Saccharomyces cerevisiae S288C: one gene and its partners. The protein of the gene in region 1 purifies or fractionates together with the protein of each later gene. This does not show direct contact. Each region holds a gene or a part of one and is shown in the gene's direction. Other genes may lie near its edges. The genes, in order: RSE1, LEA1, HSH49 and RDS3.

What was found.
Region 2: the proteins of RSE1 (region 1) and LEA1 purify together in Saccharomyces cerevisiae (affinity purification with mass spectrometry; 5 studies listed by BioGRID). This does not show direct contact.
Region 3: the proteins of RSE1 (region 1) and HSH49 purify together in Saccharomyces cerevisiae (affinity purification with mass spectrometry; 6 studies listed by BioGRID). This does not show direct contact.
Region 4: the proteins of RSE1 (region 1) and RDS3 purify together in Saccharomyces cerevisiae (affinity purification with mass spectrometry; 5 studies listed by BioGRID). This does not show direct contact.

Annotation. Positions count from the first base shown.
Region 1 is NC_001145.3:173,699-179,886, reverse strand, and holds RSE1 (U2 snRNP complex subunit RSE1), read left to right. Parts: upstream 1-1,581; coding exon 1,582-5,667; downstream 5,668-6,188. Other genes in the region: GSF2 (Gsf2p), read right to left, coding at 250-1,461; AIM32 (Aim32p), read right to left, coding at 5,813-6,188. UniProt on the Saccharomyces cerevisiae protein: Involved in G2/M transition. Required for pre-mRNA splicing and endoplasmic reticulum (ER) to Golgi secretion pathway. U2 snRNPs associated protein required for the pre-spliceosome assembly.
Region 2 is NC_001148.4:149,073-151,901, forward strand, and holds LEA1 (U2 snRNP complex subunit LEA1), read left to right. Parts: upstream 1-1,541; coding exon 1,542-2,258; downstream 2,259-2,829. Other genes in the region: THI6 (bifunctional hydroxyethylthiazole kinase/thiamine-phosphate diphosphorylase), read right to left, coding at 1-1,119; pseudouridine synthase PUS1, read right to left, coding at 2,443-2,829. UniProt on the Saccharomyces cerevisiae protein: Involved in pre-mRNA splicing. Associates to U2 snRNA in a MSL1 dependent manner and is required for normal accumulation of U2 snRNA. Required for the spliceosome assembly and the efficient addition of U2 snRNP onto the pre-mRNA.
Region 3 is NC_001147.6:911,117-913,963, forward strand, and holds HSH49 (U2 snRNP complex subunit HSH49), read left to right. Parts: upstream 1-1,705; coding exon 1,706-2,347; downstream 2,348-2,847. Other genes in the region: long-chain fatty acid-CoA ligase FAA1, read left to right, coding at 1-329; GNT1 (glucose N-acetyltransferase), read right to left, coding at 2,503-2,847. UniProt on the Saccharomyces cerevisiae protein: Possible SF3b-like factor.
Region 4 is NC_001148.4:718,582-721,460, forward strand, and holds RDS3 (U2 snRNP complex subunit RDS3), read left to right. Parts: upstream 1-2,055; coding exon 2,056-2,379; downstream 2,380-2,879. Other genes in the region: ubiquitin-protein ligase ASR1, read right to left, coding at 977-1,843; Arf family guanine nucleotide exchange factor SYT1, read right to left, coding at 2,456-2,879. UniProt on the Saccharomyces cerevisiae protein: Required for pre-mRNA splicing. Involved in regulation of drug sensitivity and may play a role in multidrug resistance.

The DNA of each region.
Region 1 (6,188 bases):
CTATAAACAATGAAACAAAAAAAAGCACTACGAAAACAGTAGATTCGTGAGGAATTGAAAAAAAGAGTGAAAAAACTAATAAAAACAACGAGAGTAAATAGGATAGTACAAAAATACTAGGAGTAAAAAAAGGCCCTCTAGTAGTAGTAATAGTAATAGTAATAGTAGTAGTACTAGTAGTAGTAGTAGTAGTTAAAGGCTATGGTTGAATAAAAAAAAAGTCTGGATGGTAGTGTTTTGGTTTTACAATTAATTAGATTTTTTCAAATCATTCTTTTTTATACCAAAAGTAGCATCATTGTTTGATGCTTTCTCTTTCTCATCAGCAATTTCTCTTCTGAGCTTAACTAGCGAGGCCAGTTTTTCATCTGGTTCATAAATACCAAACCTTCTAAACCTCCTAATTTCAGCATTCATCTTACCAATATCCCCGTCATACTCTTCCAAGATCTTCTTTAGATTGTTTTCCAGCTCCACAAAGTATTCTTCACTTAAAATGAATTTCCGTTCGGTTTTAATAGCCGTGAAAGTGGAAGCAGTGAACCTATCTTCTAGAGGACTTTGGAAACCCTCTCCAGCCACAAGTTGGATACCTGGTGCTGCAGCTTTCCTAATCGCGCCCGCTCTATAAGCAGCAACTGCACCACCCATCTTATCTATGACATAGTTGTAATAGTTAGTCTGGTAATCGTCGTAAGTAGCTCTCTTAGCACCAATCCAGCCCAGAGAGCGCAAACGTGTCTTTAAGTCAGTAGTGTTGTTATTGCCGCCAGAATTCTTAGCGCCGTTAGCAGAAGGAGAAGTTAAATCTCTCAAACTCCATAACTTGTAAGGATTGAAGCTGATGGGGTTGGCAATGCCTAATTTGAGGAATAAAGTAATTATGCCCACTTTGAAAATGTGCATGACAAAGAAAAGCCATTGAGCTACGAGACTAGAATAGTTTGCCTGAACTTCTTGTTCGAGTTTAGCGGCAATTTCAGGTAAATCCATGTGCTTGGCTACAGGAATCAATAGTCTAGACAATTGATTAGTCAAACAAATACCTGGGGTTGGAGAAATGGCGTCGGGCAAATCGGTATATAGCCAGGCCAACATAATAATGGTGTATACCCATATGTTTTTCTTGGATAGCTTCCACTCCGGAACAACTAGCTGACCAGGCCACAACTGGTCAATAAGCGGCTTGGAGTCATTCAACTCCTCGAGATTTTCTTCGTTATCAGCTTCATAATGGAACATCAAACAACCACCTTCGGACAGGTACCCTGGATGGATAGACTTATAGAACTTTACGGGCTCCTTCTCATGGAAAATTGATGGTCTCAGCACCATTAAGTCCGCCAAACCCGTCTTGGAAGGGAAAATCTTCTTAATTTTGTTATTTATGGTGTCTTCATTTGACACCTGAAACGCATAGTCGTGCTCGACATCTGCGTTAAGTCTAATGTAAATCTCCATGCTTGCAATCGCCCTCTATCAAAACAAAGTCCACCGATCTCTGCTGCCCCTCTCTAAAAAGGAAAACAATGGCACCATTAGCTTCTTTTCTCGCTTTTTTATAATATTTTCCATCATTAAATGTGGGGAGGTGGCAAAATGGCAGTAGTAAGCTTGTCGCCCCACACGGCGAAGATGCGTAAACTATTTGGGCAAGCTAGCACAACGATGGCTTATGACGGTTTAAAACGAGAGGCTGAAAGAAGAACAAGGAGTGACCATAACATAACAATGGTTGCTAAAGATGATGAGCTATACTTGTACCATCTTACTTTAAAGAAACAGACGAATTTCGTGCACTCCTGCATCGGACACTTCGTCGATCTGGAAGCAGGGTCCAAGCGTGAGCAGTCGCAATTGTGCGTAGCTACTGAGACGCATTTAGAACTTTATGATACTGCAGATGGGGAACTAAAGCTTATTGCCAAGTTTCAAAACCTGTTTGCGACGATAACCTCGATGAAGTCGCTGGATCTGCCGCATTCAGGGTCAAGGGCAAAAGCTTCCAACTGGCCCACTTTTCTAGCGCTAACTTCCGATTCTGGTAACCTAAGTATCGTGCAAATCATTATGCATGCAGGTGCTCTTAGACTTAAGACTTTAGTGAACCAGCCATTGACGAGGACCACCCTTCGAAGAGTCTCTCCCATATCATACATGGAAATTGACCCTAATGGGCGTTGTATCATTCTCTCATCTGTCGAACAAAATAAATTGTGTTTCCTCGTTGATTATGCTCAAAAATTGAGGATTTCGTCTCCATTGGAAATCATCAGACCCCATATGGTAACGCTGGATATGGCAGTTGTTGATGTAAATTTCAATAATCCATGTTTTGTTACCTTAGAAATCGACAATGCCGCTACTCAACTATCAGTACACTTGATATTTTATGTCCTCGAGTTGGGTTTGAATCACATCGTCAAGAAGGCAGATTATTTAGTTAACCCATCTGCCAATTTCGTACTGAGTTTGCCAGATCTATCGCGATATAATATAACAACTTCGCTAAGCGACAACAACTATGATGCTGACTATGATACCCTTTTCAACCCTTTTGTTGTCATAGGCTTCGAAAATCATATTCTGGTAAAGGATATGAACGGATTTTTCAGCCTGAAAGTGGAAATACCCAAAAGATCTATCACAAATAGCCGTCATAAAAATGTAACAATCATATCAGGCATAGTGCAGAAATTGAAAAATGATTTTTTCGTACTTTTACAATCTAACCATGGCGATCTTTTTAAGTTAACTGTAAGTCCAGACACTAATGATAGAAATAGACCTTTAGTTCAATTGTCCTACTTTGATACAATCCAAAATTCACACCAATTACACATTTTCAAAAACGGTTATCTTTTTGCACTATCTGAAATGAATAACAACTTTCTTTTCCAGTTTGAGAAACTTGGTGTAGAGAAAAATGATTTTTCTAATGTTTTAACCTCAAAAGATCCAAATAAGTCGCTAGTTTTCGAACCATCCATAAAGTTGCAGAATTTGAGCATATTATCGCAACAATTGAATTTGAACCCTTCAATAAAATCTCAAATTGTCAGTGATTCGCCACTGTCTATCGCCACTAAACATTTTACAAACAACAAGATAATAACTTTAACAAATGCTGTGAATTACTCTAATTTGATATCTACTAGTTTACCCCCGAACGCAACCAAGTTATGGCTAATACCCGATCCTGCAACAACCGGCGATAACAATACTCTTTTGTTCATAACTTTTCCCAAGAAAACTATGATACTACAAATTGACAACGAGTCCATGGAGGAACTAACACCGGATGAAGCAACGCGTTCAGCTTTCAAGCTCTCTCAGGACACAACAATTCATACATGCCTAATGGGCTCACACTCTATTATCCAAGTATGCACCGCAGAACTAAGACATATCGTACCGACTGGTAAATCTAGGTATTCTAATAAGCTGACTTGGGTGCCACCAGCGGGAATTCGTATTGTATGTGCCACGTCCTCGAAAACACAACTAATTATATCATTATCAAATTACGAATTGGTTTATTTCAAGATAGATGTATCTTCGGATTCGTTAATCGAATTAACCACCCACCCAGAATTGGACACAATGCCCTCTAAAGTTGCGATTGTGCAAGATACGCAGCATGCTGATTTATTAGCCATTGCTGACAATGAGGGTATGATCAAAATAATGTCTCTTAAAGACCAAAAGGAAGATTTTTTAACTGTAATAAGTTTGCAATTAGTTAGTGAAAAGATTTCTGACATGATAATGGTTAGAGATTCCTCAATAGGACAGCTTAATTTGCATGTAGGTTTAGAAAATGGCGTTTACATGAAATTTCATATAGGGGATGTTGACGGATCGTTCACTGACATAAAAAGGCGATTCCTTGGCTTGAAGCCTGTTTCCCTTTCGTATTTGCGTGAGATATCTGTATCACTAAATAATGAGGAAGAAGAAGAAGAAGAAGAAGACGATGATGATGAAAAAGAAGAAGAAGAAATAAATAGTAGTGGAGCTAAATGGATGTCATGCGTGGTTTGCCATTCCTCTTCTACATGGGTAAGCTACACGTGGAAAAATGTGTGGACCATACGGCAGTTAAAGGATCAAAACATGCTAAGTTGTTCCAAATTTGTTAACGCAGATGTTGCAATCAACGGTGTTTGTTCAATATCGAGCTCAGGACGCTTAAATATTGGCAGAGTTTCCAACTTTCCAACTTTGGATAACTGGTTTCACGTTCATGAATCAAGTGTTAACAAGCAAGAGAACGGTGGAGGAGATGAAAGCAATGAAGAGGAAGAAGATGAAATGGAAGAAGAAATGGAAATGTTACAAATATCTACATTCCGACCTCGTACTATTTTATCATTTCCCAATAATCCGAAAAGCATTTTGTTTATTGATAATCACAGTGGTAAGAAACAATGCCGTATATCACTGCAAATTGATGGTGAATGCTTAAAGTTTGGCAGTTCGGATCATTTATACAAGATACTGGACGATATCGATTGCGTTTCCGCTGCTATAATAGATTTCACAAGACAAGCTGATCATTTGATCATTTGTGCTGGCGACAAAAGGCTGTTAACATACAAGATATTAGTTAACAAAGATAAACTATCTTTTGATATTGAATTACTTCACCAAACAGAAATCATTTCACCAATACATGCTATGTTGAAGTTTAAAAACTTCTTGCTGACAGCCATGGGCTCCACTATTGTCCTTTATGGTTTGGGGAAAAAGCAATTATTAAGAAGGTCCGTAACACAGACCCCGGTATCCATAACAAAAATTGTGTCTATGCACCAGTGGAATTATGAAAGACTGGCCGTTGGTGATATACATGAATCTGTCACTTTATTTATCTGGGATCCTGCGGGGAATGTATTTATTCCGTACGTAGATGACTCTGTAAAACGCCATGTGACGGTATTGAAATTTCTAGATGAGGCAACTGTTATAGGCGCTGATAGATATGGAAATGCGTGGACTTTAAGGTCTCCACCAGAGTGCGAAAAAATCATGTCAAATCATGATCCCAGCGAATTATCTAATGGGGCCATCAAGTACCCACTAGACGTCATCACTTTACAGCAGAAATTACCCAATACTTATGATTGCAAGTTCAAGTTTCAACTACTGAACCACTTCTTTGTTAATGATATCATCACTGATTTCCATATCCTGGACAGCCTTTCAAATTCTGATAGACCTGGTTGTATCTATATGGGCTTACAAGGAACCGTGGGATGCTTTATCCCCTTATTATCCAAGGGGAATGTTTTTATGATGGGAAACATTGAGAATATAATGGCTGAGGCGGATGATACGTTTTATTTAGATTATGAATCAAGAAAGAAGAATAACAATATGCGTAAGGAAGACGATGAAGAGGAATCTGGAAGTGTTGTGTTACAAGGACGGCATGGTATAGAGGATGAAATAATATGTGAGGGTTCCTGTTCCATTTTAGGTAGAGACCACCAAGAATACAGAAGCTATTATGCCCCTGTACGTAAAGTTATTGATGGTGATTTATGTGAAAATTTCCTGAGACTTTCCTTGAATGAGCAGGAATTTTTGGCCAAAAATTTAAAGAGTGTACAAGTGGAGGATATAATTCAAACAATCAACGAAGTCAGAACAAATTACATGTAATGATTTTACAGTAATAATACCAAGTATAAAGGCGTGTTAATGTATTTTCTTAATAAATATATGTACAAGGAATATATGATAGCTTTAAATATAAGAAATATAAAATTTCACCTCATCTTTATTTCTGTTTTAAAAGGAAACCGTTTTAATTCATCGATATGCCACCTCTGTACATTTCGTCGATGATTTTACCGTTTTCCAAGTTTTCACATAACAGCTTCAAGTTGTGTGGGTAAACTTTACCAAACCATAATGAATCCAGCTTGTTTTGCATCTTTTCTCTGCCGAATAGTTTATAGAAAATGACATTACCAGCAAAAATATGACCCCCAATATGAGAAATTAAGGCTAGATTATTCTCAGGAAAAAGCTTTTCATCTTGAAATGCTGCAATTATGTCGGGTCCCATTTCTCCACACTTAGCATCTCTCTTATAATGCCCACAGACTAAGTTCCAATCTCTTAGAAAAGTTTCACCCTGAAACCTTGTAAGCTTTCTATGATGCACTTCATGAACCTGT
Region 2 (2,829 bases), on another chromosome or scaffold:
AGACAGTATTTCACTGCAATTGCCCTTTATACAAGCAAATTGGCCGTAAGTGAGCAAAGTGTTGTTTAGACAGAGCCTTGTTTCAGTGGCGCTGTACCCGACCGGGTCAAAGGTGATGGGTCTATTTACTTCATTATAAGCATTAATTGCGGCTTTTAGCATTTCAATAGGTGCCACTGATCCGGTATTTAACAGTAAAGAAGCATTTGGGATTCTTGCTAGTTCAGATACTTCACTTTCAATTTCAGACATGATAGGAGATGAGCCTAAAGCTAGAGTGACATTGGCACCAAAATTTTGATGAACCTTATTGGTGATATGTTGCACTAATGGACGATTGTTTGATACTTGAGATATAACGTTTTGAATTGAAGTTGTGGTCGGAAATGTATTATTTAACTCGCACTCAACAAATTGGTATCTGGTAGCATCTAACAAGCCTCTCAACCTCTTGGTTGCTGCACATGCATCTGGAGCGGCCATAATATCGCTGACTAGAGAGATACCATCCAACGATCTCTTTCCATTTGAAGCAACACATTGACAAAGCACACGTTGAATATTGTCAGGATGAAGACCACCAATACCAACGGTTCTACACCATGTAGCTTTAAATTCCTCCAAAGCATCCAAAATGGCAATGGCGCCTTGAGGACCCATGGGTGATTTCTTAGGATTTTTCTTTGTTGATGTAGGGAAAAGAGTACCAACACCAATATAATCTACCATATCTGGCCCCCATTTAGCCAATGTCTCTACCTCCGAAGGTTTACCAACACTCCATCCAAGAATTTTAGAAGGGCCCAAAAGTTTTCTTACCATTGGGATTGGCATATCGTCCTGGCCCACATGAACCCCATCGGCGTCAATTGCCATAGCGACGTCTATACGGTCATTGATAATAAGTGGAACATTGTACTTCTTACATATTTTTTGAACTTCTAAAGCCTCTGCAACGAAATTTTTTGTTTCAATATCCTTTTCACGGATTTGAACTAGCGTTACACCATTTTTCAACCCAGCTTCAACCTGAGAACATAAAGTAGTTCCCGGTGGAAGCATGGTAGAATCTGTAACCAGATATAATGAGTAATCAACTTCTTCCTTAGTAAATACCATTTCCGCTGTTTGATTTAAATAATTTAGCTTCAGAGTGATTTGGTCTTGAGAACCATGGTTAGATCGAAAACTAGGCGCTTCCACAAGTAAATGGATGCGTTGCCGCTATAAATATATGTAGTATTGATTTTGTTACACCTGCTAAATAGGTTCTTACGATTGCCTTTTTCCTATAATATGCATAAATTATGTTGCCCTAAAAGAGTGAAATAAACCTTATCTATCTTTTTTTTGTTCCTGGTTTTCAAAGTTGATTTTCGACAGACCCTAGTTAATTATAGGAAAAAGCCCTATTAGTCTTTTTCTTATCATAGATGACATTTACTTATATTAGGCCAATCGCATACTCTGCATCCAACAAGCCTTCAACAGGTCGAAGTGAAACTACAGGACTTGGAAAATATCAGTTTTTATAAGCAATAATGAAGTTCACCCCTAGCATAGTTATTGATGCTCCGCAATATTATGTTGATCATTTTAATGGCAAGTATAACGTGGATAAATGTGTTATTTTAAGAGACCTGCAGCTAGAAACGGATTCAGAATCCATGCCATCCAGCTTAAAGCATTTGACCAAACCTACGCACATCTTGGATTTGACAAACAATGACCTTATCATGATTCCAGATCTATCAAGAAGAGACGATATACATACATTACTGTTGGGCCGAAACAATATCGTTGAAGTAGACGGTCGCCTATTGCCTATGAATGTACAGAACCTTACATTATCGAATAACAGCATAAGAAGGTTTGAAGATCTTCAAAGGTTGCGTAGAGCGCCCAGGACGTTGAAGAATCTAACTTTAATAGGGAATCAAGTATGTCATTTAGCCAATTATAGAGAACATGTACTTCGATTAGTACCGCATTTAGAGACTTTAGACTTTCAAAACGTAACAGCTGAGGAAAGAAAGAGCGCAATGAGCTTTCCAAGGCAGGCGGACGGCGATACGTTGGGCCCAGTAAATACTGCAATAAGAGATAATGGATCCAGAGATAAAACGATGGAGATCATGAATTTGGTGGTGAGTAAGATGACAGTAGAGAGAAGAAATGAATTGAAAAAGCAGTTAGCAGAAGCTACTTCTTTAGAAGAGATTGCCAGGCTGGAAAAACTACTCTCTGGTGGTGTTTAATCTTTTGGTTAGTGCGACTGTTCAATGACTTAAAAAAAAAGAATTATAAATTATTCTGTGCCATTATATAATAATATATAAAACGAAAACAAATAATGGTGCTCTATAAACATTAGAGGACAATGTCAATTTCAATGTCAATGCCTTAGAAATTAAAGTTGGTAAGAAAGAAGGAAAGGGCAACCTAATTAGCTGCCGCTTCCGGTTGTACTTCAGGTTCGTTGCTCTGAGTGGTGCTGGATATTTCAGCCTTTTTACTAGCAGCTTCCTCCTCTTCCATTCTTTTTCTTTGCTTAATCTTCTTATTGCTCTCGGGCGCATCAGTAAGACCTGGGATACCCTTAGCTGTCAAGAATTCGAAGATACTCTTTTGCACAGCAGGTCCCGATTTATCGGCAGTTTCTTCTCCCTGTGCTCCAGTAACCTTGTTGAAACTATCAATATAACTAAAGAACGCATTAAAAACATTTTCGTCCACCTCTTCCTTGTAGATCTTATCGTAGATATGCTTCATTTTGAACTTATCCACTTCGTCTTGATATTTGGAAAAATCGATCGCCTTGTAACCAAA
Region 3 (2,847 bases), on another chromosome or scaffold:
AGACTAAGCCAGTTGGTATTATTGTACCAAATCATGCTCCATTAACGAAGCTTGCTAAAAAGTTGGGAATTATGGAACAAAAAGACAGTTCAATTAATATCGAAAATTATTTGGAGGATGCAAAATTGATTAAAGCTGTTTATTCTGATCTTTTGAAGACAGGTAAAGACCAAGGTTTGGTTGGCATTGAATTACTAGCAGGCATAGTGTTCTTTGACGGCGAATGGACTCCACAAAACGGTTTTGTTACGTCCGCTCAGAAATTGAAAAGAAAAGACATTTTGAATGCTGTCAAAGATAAAGTTGACGCCGTTTATAGTTCGTCTTAATGGATCAACATTTCCATGATAGGAAAGCCTCATCATACTAAAGCACTTTTTCAGTTTTTTGCTTTAGAACTGCTACCAATTATAAAATAGAATGCACAGGTTATCTTGTTTGGTTTGTTATTATCCTTTTTTCTTCTTTACCAGTCATATCACCTCATTCACGTATGTTCGTAATTTATAATGTTAAAAATGGCATATATAGATATATTTATGAACATCCTAAAAAATAACTAAATTTTTCTACATTTCAAAAAAGGTAACGTTGACTGCCGCATGGCAGTCTAATTAGGAGCTTAGTGATACATATATATATATATATAAATTTCGGCCAAGACACCTCACATAAGAAGCATTACCAGAGGTGTCCTGATCTGAGATGGACCCTGTCTCATTTGTTGAGTTGACAAAATATCAGGGAAATTGATTACCCTGGTGTGCACTGACTCCTTAGTACTCATTTTCACAGCTTCGTACACATCATGGAAGACAAACCATAGCAACCAGCCGCTCTCATTCAATCTCGCATAGACTGGAAGAAGAAGCTCCAGAAGCATATCCATTCCTTGCAAAACGTTCGTTTCTGCGTGCCTGTCTTCTCCACTTTTGTCTCGGTCAGCCAACAGGCACGTGGTGGGTGTGCCTGGAGATTAGAAATTGTAGTTCCTCAGATTATGTAAATTTTCTCAACAAATTTACTAGGACAAAGAAATGACGTAGTAAGAGTACTAAGTATCAAGATTGTTGAGGTGTTCCGTTGTTAGTACTTTTTTACGAGCACGCGAAGTTGACACATTGTGTCTGGCAGATGGGAACTAATTTACTAATCAATTTGCAGCAGTACGCTATCATGTGATGAAATATATTCCCGTTGGATTAACCATAGTCTAATAGACAGTAATATCGAGGACTCAGGGACTACGCCATTTATTTACTTGGAATAATTTGCCTGCCCATTCAATAAAATTATGAAAATTGTGACGTTCATACACATGCTGATGAAATGAGTATTTCTTTTAGTTGAAAATCCAACAAATTCCTCATTAACGCCGTTTTCCCACTTCTATTTACTGGCTTTTCTTTCAAAACGAGGGGATTTATTCTTGGCGTTGTTGAAATTTTCACATTTCCAGAAGATTTATTCGGCGTTTATTTTTCTAATCCAGATTTAACAAAGAGAACAAAATCCCACTCGTTACCCTGCCTTGAATTGTCAGATGGCCTTATTTATTTATTTGTTACCCGCAGATGTGGATATAAGACGGAAATGGATAGTAAAGCTAAAACGACTCTTCAAGCAGAAATTACCGAGATGAGGTAAAAATGAATGGGCAAAATAGCTAGCCAAGAACAGCGCAATCATTCTAAGATTAACATTGATGAACTACAGCGCAGACTCTGGTAATACAGTTTATGTGGGGAATATAGATCCAAGGATAACGAAAGAACAACTTTATGAACTCTTCATTCAGATCAACCCTGTTTTAAGGATTAAGTATCCGAAAGATAAAGTTCTACAAGCTTACCAAGGCTACGCATTCATCGAATTTTATAATCAAGGAGATGCTCAATATGCAATAAAAATAATGAATAATACCGTTAGATTATACGACCGACTGATAAAGGTTCGTCAAGTAACCAATTCTACAGGAACAACTAATTTACCTTCAAATATTTCTAAGGACATGATTCTACCTATTGCTAAGTTGTTCATAAAAAACCTTGCAGATTCGATAGATAGCGACCAATTAGTGAAAATTTTCAATAAATTTGGTAAGCTCATAAGGGAACCCGAAATTTTCTACCTATCAAACGGAAAATTAAAGTGTGCTTATGTTTATTTTGAGGACTTTGAAAAAGCAGATTTGGCAATAAAATCTTTGAACAATCAGTTAGTCGCCAACAACAGAATTACTGTTGATTATGCCTTCAAAGAAAATGGAAAAGGTAACGCAAAATACGGTGATGACGTTGACAGGCTGTTGAATAAAGAAGCATTAAAGCACAACATGTTGAAATAAGATCCCGCTCTCACCTAGTACATACCTTACCCGTTAGAAAATGCGATAACGGACACAATCTTGGCAGAAACATTATCAATACTATGATATATATATATGCGTTTCCGACTATACTAATTTTTACACTTTTTGAAAATTTTCACTTCTCCTCATAATCAAACGAGGCAGATTTCCCTGGACTGTATGTAAGAAGCGTACACCGAGTTCCAAAGGTCACAAGCTTGGTGCTCTAGCTTTGAATCCTCCGCGTCTTCTTCTTTAACGATACATTCAAACTCCTTCATTGATGGATAATTCCAGGGCTTGGCCAATGGATAATCCGAAAAATGTATGTACTTAGAATATGCGACACTGTCGTTTAATCCTACCGGAATATCGTTGCCATCATTATCCAATGTCTTATAACCCAAAACGTCATTATAGATTATAGAATAGTGCCGTGGGTTTCTCAATGAACCCGTCAGTAAGCCGTACCTTGCAAATGGCAAAACCAATACTTC
Region 4 (2,879 bases), on another chromosome or scaffold:
AACTGAAAAATGTGCCATACCAATTAGGTGCAAAAATGAAAGATCTAAAGGGAAGAGAACCAAGAGTTATTTAAAGGGCTACATAGGGTGCAAGATTAGTTAGGTTGTAGAACTAGTTTTTCAGAGTCATTAAATCAGTTATTTTTTATTTTGTAGTCATCAATTAGCCCCTTCGTTAAAGAGACCAATCTAGTACAGTGTGAATATAAAAAAATCATCATAATAAACTAGTCCGCAACAGTCTCTTTTATCATCCAAATCAACTGATAAGGAATAAATTGAAATAAGAAACAAATTTCCGAAAAAATCAGATGTCTTGTGACCAATCATCAATTCTCCACTAAAGAACCATAATGCCATCAACATCGCTCCTTTAAAAAATTTGTACACAAAAGAACGATGAGAGTAGACGGCGACCCTTTAACAGATACTAATATGTCCGCCCGGTCGACAACAAATCATCATATCAAAAGGAAAATTAAAAATTCCATTGCAGGCATGAAAAAGATAATAATGAAAGATAAATGCTTTCTTTTCTTCCCTTCCGTGGCACCCCTCATACAAGGCTGAAACTTAACGAAAAAGGGTTGTCGACATGTAGTTAAACCACTATTCAGTCGGAACAATTGGTATATGATTAATAATTTTTAATCATAGGGGAGTCACACAGAAAGAAAATGGAAAAAGAAAAAAGGAACTCATATATTATCTCTTCCAAGGGACCTACTGGTCGCTTAATCTGCCTCTTTGTAGTGCAGTAGCACTCACAATGGTGCTATATTTGAGTTTGTTCAACTGTTTTCTATTGAAGACGAAGAAGCAAACAAAGGAAGATGTGAAAAAAAAATTCTATGGGTCAAACTTGTGCTTTTATACGTCGTACGAGAGATGGGTCACCCGCTTCTGAGGGTTTTTTTTAGGGCTCATACTAGAGTATTATACTGTTTATATCTTGTTTTAATGTTATATTGCATTACTACTCATCATGACAGTAAATTAGGAGTTCTGTGTGCACTCCAGTTCGGGCTAAAGAGTCGTAATCGTACTGGTCAGGCAGGTACTTGTTGTCAGAGAGACGGTACAACTTGCGGGATACTTGCTTGTTGACGTGCTTGTAGGCATCCTTGAAGCGCAGCAGAGGCAGTGGGTACCGGTCCAGTGCTCGTCGCACGTGCATCTGGATTTTGTGCTTGGCATTCCGTATCTGTTCATACATCTGCTGTGTCTTGACGCTGTGCTTGTCCCGTAACTCACCAGCAAAAATCATGGAATTCCTGGAATCGTAGCTAGCAAGTTGGCTACTGATAGCACCCATGCGCAGCTCGAGCAATGCATTTGATCTACAATCTGTGCACTCCTGCCACGTATTGCGATCGCCCACCTCACAAGCTAGCCCGCGTAGACATGTTTCGTGATATATTGCTTCGCAGTCTTGGCAATACAGGCTTAATCGAGAAACATCTGTGTCTCCGCATATGCTGCACTGAATTATCTTAATGGTATCCATCACCAGCGTACCTCTAAGCCTTTCGCTGAGAAATTCTATTTCTTGGTCTTGCTCCCCTGTATCGTCCTCATTTCTTTCGTTAGTTGTTTCGGCCCCCACATAATCGATAGCATTCTTAATCATAAACCCCATCTTCAAATTTATAGAAAGTGCATGTTGCCCTTCGCCAACTTCTAAATGGGTGGATTCAACCCTGCAGATGGGGCACTTCAAGTTGATACTATACTTGTGCCACTCTCTTATACAGTTTAAGTGGAATTTATGCCCGCAAACGTTCAAACATCCAAATTGTTCACCCTCTTGGTCATCTGCCAAACAAATAGGACACTCTTCCATCTTTTTATATGATATTTGGATATTTGGCTGAGGGTATGGTCTCTCCCTTGGCTCAACTCCTTGCATCTTTTTTTCTATTTTTTTTTCTCACTTTCTGTTCTTCCATATATGCATTACTTGCCATATTTCTCACTTACTAAGGCATTCAACATAGAAAATGAAGATGGATACAAAAAAGATCCACACACATACAAGCCTCCAACAAAAAAAACATGTCCCGCCATCAGTTTGATCTAATAATGTGCCTAAAGCAGCCTGGTGTACAGACAGGTCTTCTTTGTGAAAAATGTGATGGCAAATGTCCTATCTGCGACTCTTATGTAAGGCCCAAAAGGAAAGTTAGAGTATGTGAAAACTGTTCGTTTGGTAAACAAGCTAAAAATTGTATAATTTGTAATCTAAATGTTGGAGTCAATGACGCATTCTATTGTTGGGAGTGCTGCCGCTTAGGTAAAGATAAAGATGGCTGTCCTAGGATCTTAAACCTTGGCAGCAATAGACTGGATAGACATTTCGAGAAAAAGAAAAAGGTATAACACATACATATAGAATATGTAAAAATATATAAATAAATAACATGCATTTATAACCCATGGTACTATTTTCTTCCCCTTATTCGTTACTATATTCGTCGTAACTACTGTCGCTCACGCACACTTGCAAACTGTTCTCGTTGAATAAGAAGCTTTCCTCTATATCATCTATACCATCACTATCGTCGTTATTGCCTTGCCCCTCCTCTTCTCCTTTACCATGCTCTAAGATATTCTTTTCAGCCTGCTTGCGAGTCACTTCTTTTATGATACTTACAAACAGCTCGCTTCTCTTAATTTCGTAGATTAACCAGTCCATTCTGACAGCCAGCTGTCTTATGCGGTTTATCATATCTGTCTTAGTCTTTGTGCTAATAGGAACACATTTTCCCATAAGCATCAGAGTGCTTTCAAATTTTTTCAATTTCTCCCATTTGGCTGATTTTATAGACCTAAGTCTTTCCATCCTCTGCAAAATGGTAAGCTTTCTCTTATTACAAATA